Drosophila melanogaster: one gene and its partners. The protein of the gene in region 3 purifies or fractionates together with the protein of the main gene of each other region. This does not show direct contact. Each region holds a gene or a part of one and is shown on either strand. Other genes may lie near its edges. The genes, in order: CG3548, CG15047 and RfC38.

Region 1 (4,981 bases), on a different chromosome or scaffold from region 3:
GTGAGATTCGGATTCAACTACTCCGAGTTACTTCCAATGGCGCCTGCCGTCCTGTTTCTTGTGTTTACCTACCTGATGGGTGTGTCGAGGGGCTCCTTGAACTGCCCCACTGGGAAGTTGAACCCGCTGCAGTTCCACCTGGTTCGCCAGTGCCAACGAGCTGCAGCTGATGAAGCTCTGGCCCTGGAAAACACATCCTCTCTGAAGGAATGTGCTGATCTGGCGCATGATATGCGTGGGCTGGCCTTGAACTACGCTCCAGGAGGACCGAAAAGGAGGCTAAATGCATTTGATCAGAGGTCCTTTGGCAAGCAGGGCGACAAGGAGCAGCGCATTCGAAGTCGTTTGAGTGTCTTCGAACAGCCAGGGGAGTTCTTCAACTGCCACGTCCTGAAGTGTCCTCAGAATAACACATTTTCAGGGATGGTCAATGACAGTCGCTTCGATTACTACAGCTTATATGGAAGGCCAACAGGTTAAATGAAGTATCTAGCGTATCTGTTTGGTTGAATAATTTTGTGGTTCTTGCTAGTCGTAAGGAACTACAGCTGCATACCGGAGGTTGGGCTGTTCGTGGTGTATACTCAGCCTAGTGCCTACTTGAATGCCTCACTGACCTGTTCAAACTCCTCGGAGTTCACTGGTAGTCTGGCCCACATCGCATCCGAACACAGAACCAGTTTATTGGCCCAATGGCTAGTGGAATTCAACAGGAAATCACAGTCTCTGGCAGAAGGTAATGTCTATCTGGCCTATGTGGGTTTGGCCTACAACAGCTCAACGTCATTGAGCCCACTGGACTTCAGGAACTCCCAAGGGGAGAGCTTGCAGTGCTTTCTTTACAGAGCCTGGGATGGTGGTCATCCTCGAGTTGGGTAGGCTGACAGTTTATTAGGTTAGCCGCCAATGCTATCTTCTCTAAATCTAACCGAATTTGCAGTGGTGATCTGGGCAACGCCAGCTGCGTGGCCTTGACGCCGCAGGGAACCTGGCAAACCCTGAACTGCGACCGGGAGCTGCCCTTTATCTGCGAAATCCACACGGCCCGGTCAACTTTCGGCTGGGAGCAGTCCAGTTCCGAGCTGGACATCGGCCCAAATGCAGTCTTCGAGTGCGGAAGAGACCGAGTCTGAGTCTATGGCAGCATGGATATTCGCAGCCGTTTTATTCACTTAAGCAGTTTTCAAAACACAAAAGCCAAATAGATATAGTTTAGTGGTGATTGCCCGCCTCTCGCACGCCTTGTGGAAAGTGTAGAATCTGTTGCAGATGCAGGACCACCGGGCAGCGCCGCTTAGTGGTACTTGTAGTTCCTGTGGTGCTTCAACTTGGTGTAGTTAATCAGATAGAAGAACGTCATGCTGGCGACGGTCAGCTGGAAGAAGGGAGCGATCCCGGCGCGCTTTGGGAACACGTACTTGTGCTGCCAGCGCCACCAGGCACGGCTCACAGCTCCGGCCACAGCGTTGGGGGTCTTGTTGCGGCGTCCCAGCCAGGCGCCGATCTCGCCCAGCTTGACCTGGCCGAAGGGCACATCGGCTGCGGATCGGAGAGAGCGGAGAGGTCGGAAAGTTGTTTAAATTATGTAAAACGCTGCACATTTTTGGGCAGTGCAAATGTGCTCTGTGCCTGCCGCAAAAATTACGTAACCTGCTCACCTTTGCCGTAGAAGCGAGCGGGGTCGTAGGGCCCGTGCACCTTGGGGTTGTACTCAGCTGGATAGTCACCGAATGCCATCGCGCTGGTTTGGTTGAGATATATTCTTAAATCGGATTCTTATGAAACATAAAATTACGCCTGCTACTTACTTCCTTCGATACTGACAGTATGACCAAAGCGGCGAGAGCTGGGATTTTCATCGACCAATATACCGAAATATACTATGTGCGAATTTATTGTGTGCGTCTCCGCTAACAGGGAGGATGTATTCGCTACGTCATCGATACAGCGAATATATCGATGCCCGATGCACGATGCACTTCTCACATCACTAAGCTCCAGTATATACAGAAATCAAATAGGATTTTTGCAAGCCTGGGCATTCGAATCAGAATCCAGCCAAAGCGAATCCAGTGTGTAAACAAAAACAATGAAACTGGAGGAGTTGCTGACCAAGGGAGCCTCCTCTCCGCCGGAGGACGACGACGAGGACGAGAAGGTGGAGCTGAAGCCGCAGAAGTCAAGCAGCGCCACCGCGGACGAGGGGGCGGAGAACGCGGAGGATGCGGCCGAGGATGCTGGCGAGAAGGAAGGCGCGGGTGGCAAGAAGAAGGGCACGCGCAAGAAACGCTCCCTTAACTGGGAGGAGGCGGAAAGGGGGCTGCTCCTTGAGGTCATCAAGTCCAAGGTGGCCTTCGTGGAGAACCGGAGCGTGGACGCCAAGAGCATAAAGGCCAAGCGTCTGGCCTGGTCGCAGATCACCAAGCAGTAAGTTGCGCCATTGGGCAGTGGAGCTCGTCTTATAATGGCCCTTCACTCCTTCCATTCCAACCCCCCATCCAGGTTCAATGCCCTTAACTTCCGCCATCGCCTGCTGGAGCAGATCCAGGTGCAGTGGCGCAGCATGAAGAACTCCGCCAAGCGGGAGCACCAGCAGAAGCATCCGAAAACGGAGGCCCTGGAAGGCATGCGGATGATCGAGTTCCTGGAGGAGATGCAGAAGGATCCGGTCACCTCGCGCAGTCAGACACGCAGCGCGAACACAAACGGCGCTCTTAAGAAGGAGCTCATGGACATCGACGAGGACGAAGACATGCCGCTGGCCGCTCTGCCCAACTCTACGAACGCCAGCGAGGACACGCTGCAGACCTCCACAATAGCCATCCCCTCGCCGCCGCCCTCCACTGCTGGCGGAGACGGGGACTCCCAGCAGGAGGGAAATCCCGCCCAGCTGCCAGCCCAGCGACGCAAGCGGACCAAGGCCAAGCAGTCGCCCTCGGGCGCCAAGACAGAAACGTCCGGCGAAACGGGGGAGGAGAACGAAAAGGGCGTAGGCCCACCACGAAAGCGGCGACAAAGGAATGTGAGTTTGAACACAAGCCGCAAGTTTATTTATTATTATTAATTAAGGTTTAGCTGAACAAGTTGCAAATTTTTGTGAAGGGGAATCTTAATCTTTCTTACTAATAATACTATCTCATCGTTAACCAGCTCTCACAGGCCCAGTCGCTGCTGTCCGACGAGAACGAAGCCTCCACCAACGCAGCTCCGAGCGCCACCCCAGTTGCAGACACAAATAGCCAGTCCTTAGATTTGGTCGCCGCCACGGAGATAGAGCAGAAGTACAAGCAGGACCTGTTTAGGCTGCTCAAGCAGGCCCGTCTGGCCGAAATCGACTACGCCCGGCGGGAACACGAGCAGAAGCTGCGCTTCGAGCAGATGGAGCAGGAGGTGAAGATGGCCTACTACCGGCAGGAGCAGGACCTCAAGCTGCGGCACATGCGCGAGGAGCACGACATCCGGCTGCGGCAGCAACGACGGGAGCACGAGGCGCGCCTGGGGATCTACTCGCTGAAGAGCGGTGGCCTGAACGGAAGCATACAGGATCAGAGTTCAGCAAAGTGCAATGCCAAAGCGGACTACAACAATGTCCACGAGGTCGGGCCATCGACCAGTGCGGAGGGGGCGCTGGCGCTCAATGCCGCCTGCAACTAGGGGCGTGGCTGTTGGCCCATATGCATATACAATACGAAGAGAGCCAGCAATTAGGGTGTAAGGCATTTAGAGGAAACATCAACAGTACTTTAAAATTTAGCTTGAAATATGTTTAGCGAAATGTAGCTCTTCCGGTCAGCCAGAGTAACCGGAAACGGAAACGTAAACGCCGGACGCGCATACAATACTCATCGACACACTCAAGTTGCCACTCGGACGAATGGACTGTTGTTTATTGTGCAATTCGCACGAGACGAACTCACAGGCATTGCATTTTCAAGAAATTAGTATTACATAATTGTATCCGTATCTGTTAAGTACTCCGGGCGAAGAGATCAATTCAAAATGCGGTTGTGTCGTCGAAAAAAAAACAAACTCGAAAATACTCATGCACAGACTCTGAATAAGTTCCCCTTTGCAGAACGCAATTTACTCATCAGTCAGTATTCTCTATGGCCACTGTATTATTTTTATACCTTCATTTGTTAGCTTTAAGTTTTTTTTACACAACTACTACTTATACTTGTGCTGCCACCAGTTGGGCTGCCGTAGTTGCAGATCAATGTATCCATTGTCCATACATTGCGAGAATCTTTTATAATTCGTCTAAGCATAAGTTACTGTACGTCGTGTTGTATAGCGCTGTAATATCCTGTCACCTGCTTCTGCTTAATTAATACCCTATATCGGGCGAGAGCAAGGTACGATTAAACCATTAGATAATGAAATACAAATACATAGTGTATAAACAGATGAACGACGTGCGTTTAAAGGGGGGTTCTCCGATCTCTCAGTCCCCGAAACAGGAATCAAAGTGGGCAACTCTGCAAATGCTTAGTATTTAAAAATCAAGGGTTCTATCAATATATTTCATCCACTTGAACTTTTAGAAAGCTGTGATAAATCGAAATGAAGGACCTGGACGGCTCCTTGGACACTCTGGAGAATGCCCGCTTCAACTACGTGTATATGAAGGACATTGCTCGCCTGGCAAAGGACTCGATCTTCTCGCATAACGAGCTGATTAGCATTGTAATGCTCTACCATAAGTTTGTGCTGGTCAATGGGCCGAGAGCAAAGTACATGACCATTCAGCAACTCTCTGCGCTGATGGAGCTCTTGTTTGAGATCGTGGATCGCGATCTCATTGCGACCATTGTGTATAGAATAGCCCATACACCAGGTTCCAGGCCTCCTGACTTCTTTTCCGACAAGCATATACACTTGGAGTCCTTTGTGCGGCTTTTCACCGTATACTTCACCAAAGATCTTCAGCTGAAAATGGAATTCGCATTCTCGGTGGGCAATTCATAGTATTCATATGAAA
Region 2 (3,268 bases), on a different chromosome or scaffold from region 3:
ATCTACGCCAAAGAACTGGTGAGCAAAGGCGGTAAATTGAAATCAGTACAAAACGCTGGAGTAGAAAAAATAAAAGAGCGATCATTAATCATCGGGCCGAAAAGGGTTGACAAGCTGCGCATTGCTATTGCCACAGGGTTGCTGTTGCTGTTGCTTTCAGTTCCGGCTTCTTCCGCTCCTTGACCGGAGTCATATCCGCCAAAACAACAACAAAGTGCTCGGGGGAAAATTGGCCTGGGTGGCCCTAATGCATTTAATGTCTCCCGATGGCTGGGGTTGAACCCAAACATTTTAGGGACCAGCACATCAGGTAACATCCTCGTCCTCGAACTGCCCTGATTCCCCATATACTGCTCTTAATTGACAATAATAATGTTACAAAAATAATGGTACTTATTTCTAACTGTTAGGTTCTTTAAAAAATTCTATAGTTTGCCTATTTATTATGGAAAAAATTAGATTAGGAGTTCCAAAAAGAAGTTTTCCAAAAGTAACAACGACGATTCATCTTCACTAACAGCTTAGCAATATATTTAATGCAAATATTCACGAAATTCCACAATTGAAAATAAACTAAAATATAAGTATACTTTTAAATTGATGACACTTTTTAGATATGAAAACAAAATTAACAAAATTAACATGGAAATCTTCGTTAGACTTCATGGTGGATTAATATCAACATTAATTACTCTGATATACACTTACTATAAAGTTAAGGGCATTTTTTAAACATAATAGCAAACTAAAAACGTAACTATGAAGAACTTGTTTTAACTTAACAGTAGACTTGAAAACTAAACTTCTCATATATCTATACCTTAACTTATAAGATGTAAGCAGTACTAACTAGTATCTGGTTTCCCTTTCAGTTGCTAGGCGAAGAGTCATCGGCAGATGAGGATGACTGCTCCTGGCTGGTTTCAAGCTCCTGCTCCTCCGGCTGCTCGTTCTCGGACTCATCCACTTCCTCGGACAGTAGCAGTTCCATGGCCTGCACACTGCTGCCGTTCACCAACTCGGCGAGCGTCTGTGCGATCCTCTGATCGCGCATCATCTCGATGATGGCTTCATCCGTGGCAAGTGGATTCCCCATGAGGGAGCTGCGCAGTTGCCTTAATCGCTTGCGATTGCCACGCCTTTTGCGCGTCTCGCCGTCATCCATTCCCTCCACCAAGATCTGCACCGCCCGCTGCACGTTGTTGTTACTCTGGGCCAGCGCCAAGCGAGCCTCGCCCTCCGGATAGCCCATGTCCATGACCACCTTCACCATGAGCTCCGTTTCGTTGGCATCGGCTGCCACGGCCACCGAAGCGGCTGCTTGAGGAGATCCTGCTCCTGCTGCAGCCGTTTCTGGCGGAGATTTCAGATGCAATTGCTCAACTTGCGACATTTCCGCAGCTCAACTTTGGCGTCACTATCGATATCTAGCCAAAATCAGCTGATCCCCTCTTTAACCCCTCTCATTTGGTTTCGAACCCAGAAAGCTAATTTAACTGTTGTGTGGCCGAATTTTAGGTAAATCCTTAAGTACGGTCCTACTTTTCAGTACAGTGCGGAACAAGGACACATGCTGATTGCTAATAAAAGTAAAGCTTACTAAACTGACACTTATTTGTAGTGCCATTGCATAATCAGCAACATGAATCATTTACGTACAATTAAGTATATGGTGAAATCTAACAATTTTTATTCACTTCACAAAATAAAGTACATTTAGTTCCAAACAAGAATTTTGATATTATTTGAGATATTTTGATAAGAAGTGCTACCCTGATACTGTCTTCCATTTTGACAAGGCAATATGTAGTTTAAATTATTCCCTGAAATTATAAGCACATCTGTATAAAATGGAAGGAGGCACTTTCAATCTGATGAAAACAGAATCCATTCCCAGCTGCCTGCTTCAGCCCATCCGGGCGGTCCCCAAGTGCGTCAACTCAAAGGAGATCCTAAGCAGTTTGGCGCGGAATCCGCGAAAGAGCCGCCTATATCCTCCCCATGGCGGTCACATGCGGTCCGTTGTGGGAACCTTCTACAAGATCACGGACCAAATCGGTGAAATTGCGATAGGCACCAAGTTAACCGGCACCGTGCTGCTCGAGAGCCTGCCGGTCTTCTACGTGACCATCAATGGACCGGGCTCCAAGCTTTTGAAATGTCTAGCCATGGGGCAGGTGCAACTGCAGGAACTGGAGCAGCTGCCCGACTATGGCGAAATCTTTGCATTCTACGACAAGGCCGAGAATCGCATCTCTCGCATCGCCATTAATGCCCCCGTTCACCCCATGGGCTACTGTGCCTATATGATCGACGCTGCCAAATATACCAACATGTCCGGCATGGAGCGCATCTTCGCGCTGCCGGATGATCTCAAGAAGCTGCCGGCGCTAACGATCAAATGCCGCCTGGTCAATGTGGCCCAGATGCATATATTTATTACCCAAAATGTTAGACTGCGCGTCCTCGGCAGTAATGGCCTTGAACTGTTGGTGGCCCTGATCAGGAATAGGACCAACATTCGGAAGATTCCATCCGCACAACTACCACCAATTTCGGGCGATGAGTACGGAAATATGGATGCAAACGATCGGGAAGTGGCCAAATCTTTTGCACGATATAGACCCAAGCGTCGCGAACGTGGTAGCATTGTACGCGTCCATGTCACCAGGATCGTTAGCCATGCCGAATTCTACGCCCGATTCGCTGATGGACCAACAGTGCCCACGTGGAGCAAGAGTGTTATGAAAAGGGGCACAGGTGATTTTCGCGTCTGGGACATCGTTCTGGCCCCATATCAGGGGCGATATCATCGCGCCAAAATCGTTGACATATTTCGCTGCCGTTACCGTGTCTACTTTCTGGACTTCGGCATCACCGAGTATACAAGCAAGAAAAATCTAACATTTTGCTATGAGCTGGAGAAAGCCCAGCACAATCTGGCCTTTAGATTTGAAATATTGGGAACACGCCGTCAGTGTCCCATACCTTACATAAACATCCTAGAGGGCATAAAGCATCTGGAGCACACAGTACTACGAAGCGATATCAATGTTCGCATCCATAACATTTTGAAAGACGGTGGATATGTGATTCGTTTAATGAAACATATTCACGAGTGCCATATGATTCACTTGTTTGACGATTATTATTCGAATTGATGTATTTGAAAACAATAAGAATGTATTTCATAAGACATTCCATTTGAAATGCATTAAAGACGAACATTTCTGAGAAACAGCCAAATGTATTTCATAGTTATATTATA
Region 3 (4,181 bases):
AGAGCGTGGTTCAAAGGCTTCTCGGGTTAAACGCCTTCTTGCCCCAGTGGCTGATAAACTCCTACAAGTTATCCCACTCCCGGGAACTGCTCCACTTACTTGTGAAACACAATCGTCTGCTGGAAGCCGCAGATCTGGGATGTGAAATAATCGCCGGCATGCTGGGAGCAGGTAGCGAGTATTTCGAATTCAAACACGCGGTGAACATAGCAAACCCACAGCTCTGCTTCCCCATCAGCACGATCGATTTGCTGCTGCACGGTTTAAAGATTAATGGCAAGGATGATCTTGATTATGAAATGGTAAGTCATACATATAAATTTCGTTCTACTCAAAATACATTCCAATCATATTCCAAATCTATTCCTATTTTAGGCTTACTTTAAACTCGAAGAAGAAGTTCAAAGATATATTGAGACCATAAAGCGCACCACCGATGATAAGATGAGCATGGCCGTTCTGCAGATGCGAACGGATCTTCAGGAAGAACGTTAATAGTTCGTTTAAATCAGTTTATTTAATAAGTTTTTTGAATTAAATGCTAAAGCGTGTAAATCGTTTAAAAATCATCCGTCATGTCCAGCTCAGAAAGGAACTTTTTATAGATGTTCATAAACTGAGCGACGAACGCTTCAAGATGAAAAATGTGCTTGGCGCCGGACTGCATCCGGTGCTCGTACTCGGTGGCGAACTCGAGCGTCTTTGCCTTGATGGACATATCACAATTGTTAACCAGCTGTTCGACCAGGCCGCGGAATATGAGATTAGGTGGAACGCCTTGCGTGAGTAGCTCGTACAGGCGTTCGCGGATCTTCTCCAGTTTGGCAGGCGTTTGCTCACTGATAATCTGAGATGCTGTCTCACGCAGGAACACCTGCCAGTCCAGGTCGGGAATCTCCTGATTGGCGGTAAACGGCGCCTTGGCCACCTTGGCGGCCTCCAGCATCAAAAGTGCTCGCCTGAGATTGCGCTCCGACTTGTCCACAACCCGTTTGGCCAGCTCCACGGGCAGTGCGAGTCCCTCCCGCTTGCAAGTGTTCTGCAAGATGGACACGATCTCCGTTTCGTTGGGAGCCGCCACCCGTATGCCCAGGCAACGCGACCGTATGGCCGGAATGATCCGAGATGTGGAGTTCACCGATATGATTATCCGGCACGTGGCCACATATTTCTCCATCGTACGGCGCAGGGCGTGCTGGGCATCCTTGGTGAGTTCGTCGCCCTCCGAAATTACAATCACCTTGAATTCCCGTTGGCCACTAATCTCAATTTGATGCGTCTGGGCCACCTGCTTGATGAGATCGATCACCACCGTGCGGTCGTACATGCCAGCGTCGGAGGGATTCACCTCCAAGTGGTAGTTGCTGCTGACCGTCATCACCTCTACCTTCCGATTGGATGGCGTGGTGAATGTCATGGTCTCGCTCCTCAACCGCTCAACGCCGGATCCGTACATCTCCCGTAGCAGGCACATGATGCGTGTCTTCTTGCCAGCACCCGAGGGTCCGTAGAACATCAGATGAGGAAAATCGCTCTGCTTGCAAAGGTTGCGTAGGTTCTCCGCTTGATCCTGCATCGAAATTAGCAAAAATCATAAAATAAAAAACCTTTTTAAAAAGAGATACTTTAATATATGGGCCAGCTATATAGATGTATGCGCCGGTTTCCTCGCTGATTTACCTTGTGGAAGTCCAATTTGGACAGCTCCCGCGGACGGTATTTATCCACCCAAAGTGCCATTTCGTTAACGCATGTAAAATACGATAGTAATTGGATGTATTTTAAGTTACTTTCTGACCGTAAAAGTAATTTAACAAAACAATTTAATGCGCGCCTTTTCCGCTGACTATTTCTAGTAATGCTGCAAGCTTCGATGTTTTTGATGATTATTGTCGATTTCTACGCTGTGATATCGATGTTTAGAGGTTTCATTAAATTTGCCACGCACATATTTTCAAATGATTATTTCGGCTTGAATGATTTAAAAAATTAAATACTTTAACAGATCACAATTAAAATTAATTTTAAAGTAATATTATTACATTTACACTGTTTTCGTGCCACGACTAAAACCAACGATAAAACAAGTAAAATTAATGGATTTCAAAATAAATGATTACGAAAATGCCTAAAAGACTTGAACTCTTTTATGATAAATAAACATTTGAAAACAAAAACATTTCTTGTGTTTCTGTAATAAATAACCGATTCAATGCTTCTCATGTTATGTATGGCAACGCCATTCCTCCGTTTTTACCGGTTAAAATTGGACCGCTAGCAAGTGTGACCGTGGGTTGGCGGTTTTAATGAGTTTCGGTATTCTGGGTAGAAAAAGCAGCTACCTTACTGCATCCATCAGTTTTTTTTCGCAAAACTTAAGTATCTTGGAAGTAAAATATCCGTAGAATTGCACAGAATTCGCGACAAGAACGCATGGAGAACGGAGTGGAACATGGTGTGGACGAGTCAGGCGAGAACCAGGTGCTGAGCAGTTCCGATGGCGAGGGAGACTGTGATGGTGACGGTGAAGTGGAGGGGGAGGTGCTGCAGCCGCCGCCGCCGCCGCCACTGCAAATAACAAACGATTGTGTTGGCGAAGGGGTGCAAGCGGAGGAGGGGGAGCGTGCACCAGCGACGACCGGAGCTGTGGACGTCACTCCGGACCCTGGGCCACCGCCCACGGATGGTGCAGCACCTGTAGCCATACTGGAGGACAACATGTGCGACAAGGATGTGGATAGCGATGCTGGCGACGAGGACAACGACGATGAGGTGAGCGAGATACCTTAAGCTTTTTGAAAATGTATAATATTTTCTATTCAAACCCTTTAGACCAAGGAGAACTACGAGGGCTTCAATGGCACCGGACGCACCGTCACACTGCAAACGCTGATGGCTGCCAATGTCCTGCAGCCGGGCCTGGGCTTAATGACTATCGAATATCTGGGCCAGAAGTTCGTTGGCGATCTACTGGCCGACGGTAAGATCAAATCCCATGAGACTGAGACAATATTCCTCACGCCCAGCGCCTGGGCAATGCACTGCAAGCGGATCATCAATCCGGACAAGAAGAGCGGCTGCGGCTGGGCCTCGGTCAAGTACAAGGGAAAGAAGCTGGACGCCTACAAGAACACGTATTTGCGAAAGTGCGCGTTGCAAAAGGAGACGCCGCTAGATGATTGTGAACTGGGTAGGTAAAGCTCACTTGCTTTATAATCCTTGCTAATTCCATCGAATCCATAGATGCTGAACGCAAGACTGACACCCCGGAGATTGTCGTCAAGCGAACCGTTTTCGCACATAATACCGTTTCGAATCGCAACGTAGTACAGTGAGTAGACCAAATGCGTACTGAATTTTGAGGGGGGTTGGTTCTTTAAAAGAATAGTCTGGCTTGCTTTTAGTTTAAATCTATATGCTGGATGGTATTTTAATCCAATTCTATTTATCCACAGCGACGCCAACATGTTGATTGAATCGGTGCCGTTTACTTCGGTGGGGAAATTGCAGCCCTTCCTCATTACAGTGAACTCCTCTGCCCTCTTGCTGGCGGATTTTCACTGCCACTTGACGGTGCGTGAGGTGTGCGGCTATCTAGGTGGCACCTGGGACATGAACACACACAGTGAGTCCGGCTCGGCTTGCGATTTATACTGCATAGGCATTTTCTACATGTTTTTTTCATTTCAGCTCTATCCATCACAAAGACATATCCTTGTCGCAGCACGCGCTTTGATCGACAGCGAGCCGGCGAAGTGGAGCGTGATATTCAAAAGATGATGATTCAGGATCAATTGCTGTTGGTTGGATGGTATCACTCGCATCCCAAGTTTCAGGCGGAACCTACGTTGCGCGACTGCGATGCACAGTTGGACTATCAAATCAAAATGCGCGGTGCCAGCGATCTCACCTATACGCCCTGTGTCTCCCTAATTATATGTATGTGTTATCCAATGGCCTTTTAAATTCTGCGCAAATACTTCATCTCAGCCTTAATCGAATAATACATTTTATCTTACAGCCCCTTACTACGATGAAAACCCTACCCTGGAGTCGGTGGTCAAGTGTATTTGGATTGTTCCGCCCAACGAGAACAGACAGTCCATGGAGTATGGCCGTCCAATGCTGATGCAGTATTCGGTGCTGCCGGACAAGGAGATACCCGAGGAGGTGCGCTCTGA

The links.
Region 1: the proteins of RfC38 (region 3) and CG3548 purify together in Drosophila melanogaster (affinity purification with mass spectrometry, with the first as the bait; one large-scale study listed by BioGRID). This does not show direct contact.
Region 2: the proteins of RfC38 (region 3) and CG15047 purify together in Drosophila melanogaster (affinity purification with mass spectrometry, with the first as the bait; one large-scale study listed by BioGRID). This does not show direct contact.

Annotation. Positions count from the first base shown.
Region 1 is NT_033778.4:24,597,959-24,602,939, forward strand, and holds CG3548 (uncharacterized protein), read left to right. Parts: upstream 1-1,988; 5' UTR 1,989-2,089; coding exon 2,090-2,427; intron 2,428-2,502; coding exon 2,503-3,022; intron 3,023-3,150; coding exon 3,151-3,654; 3' UTR 3,655-4,409; downstream 4,410-4,981. Other genes in the region: CG13587 (uncharacterized protein), read left to right, coding at 37-475, 533-875, 941-1,133; ATPsynF (ATP synthase, subunit F), read right to left, coding at 1,295-1,539, 1,659-1,737; CG3565 (uncharacterized protein), read left to right, coding at 4,564-4,953.
Region 2 is NC_004354.4:18,526,837-18,530,104, reverse strand, and holds CG15047 (uncharacterized protein), read right to left. Parts: upstream 1,423-3,268; 5' UTR 1,394-1,422; coding exon 869-1,393; 3' UTR 512-868; downstream 1-511. Other genes in the region: CG15042 (uncharacterized protein), read left to right, coding at 1,851-3,161.
Region 3 is NT_033779.5:11,128,432-11,132,612, forward strand, and holds RfC38 (replication factor C 38kD subunit), read right to left. Parts: upstream 2,215-4,181; 5' UTR 1,741-2,214; coding exon 1,681-1,740; intron 1,571-1,680; coding exon 560-1,570; 3' UTR 501-559; downstream 1-500. Other genes in the region: Nup160 (nucleoporin 160kD), read left to right, coding at 1-302, 376-495; CG4751 (uncharacterized protein), read left to right, coding at 2,434-2,772, 2,833-3,190, 3,244-3,331, 3,456-3,625, 3,691-3,939, 4,022-4,181.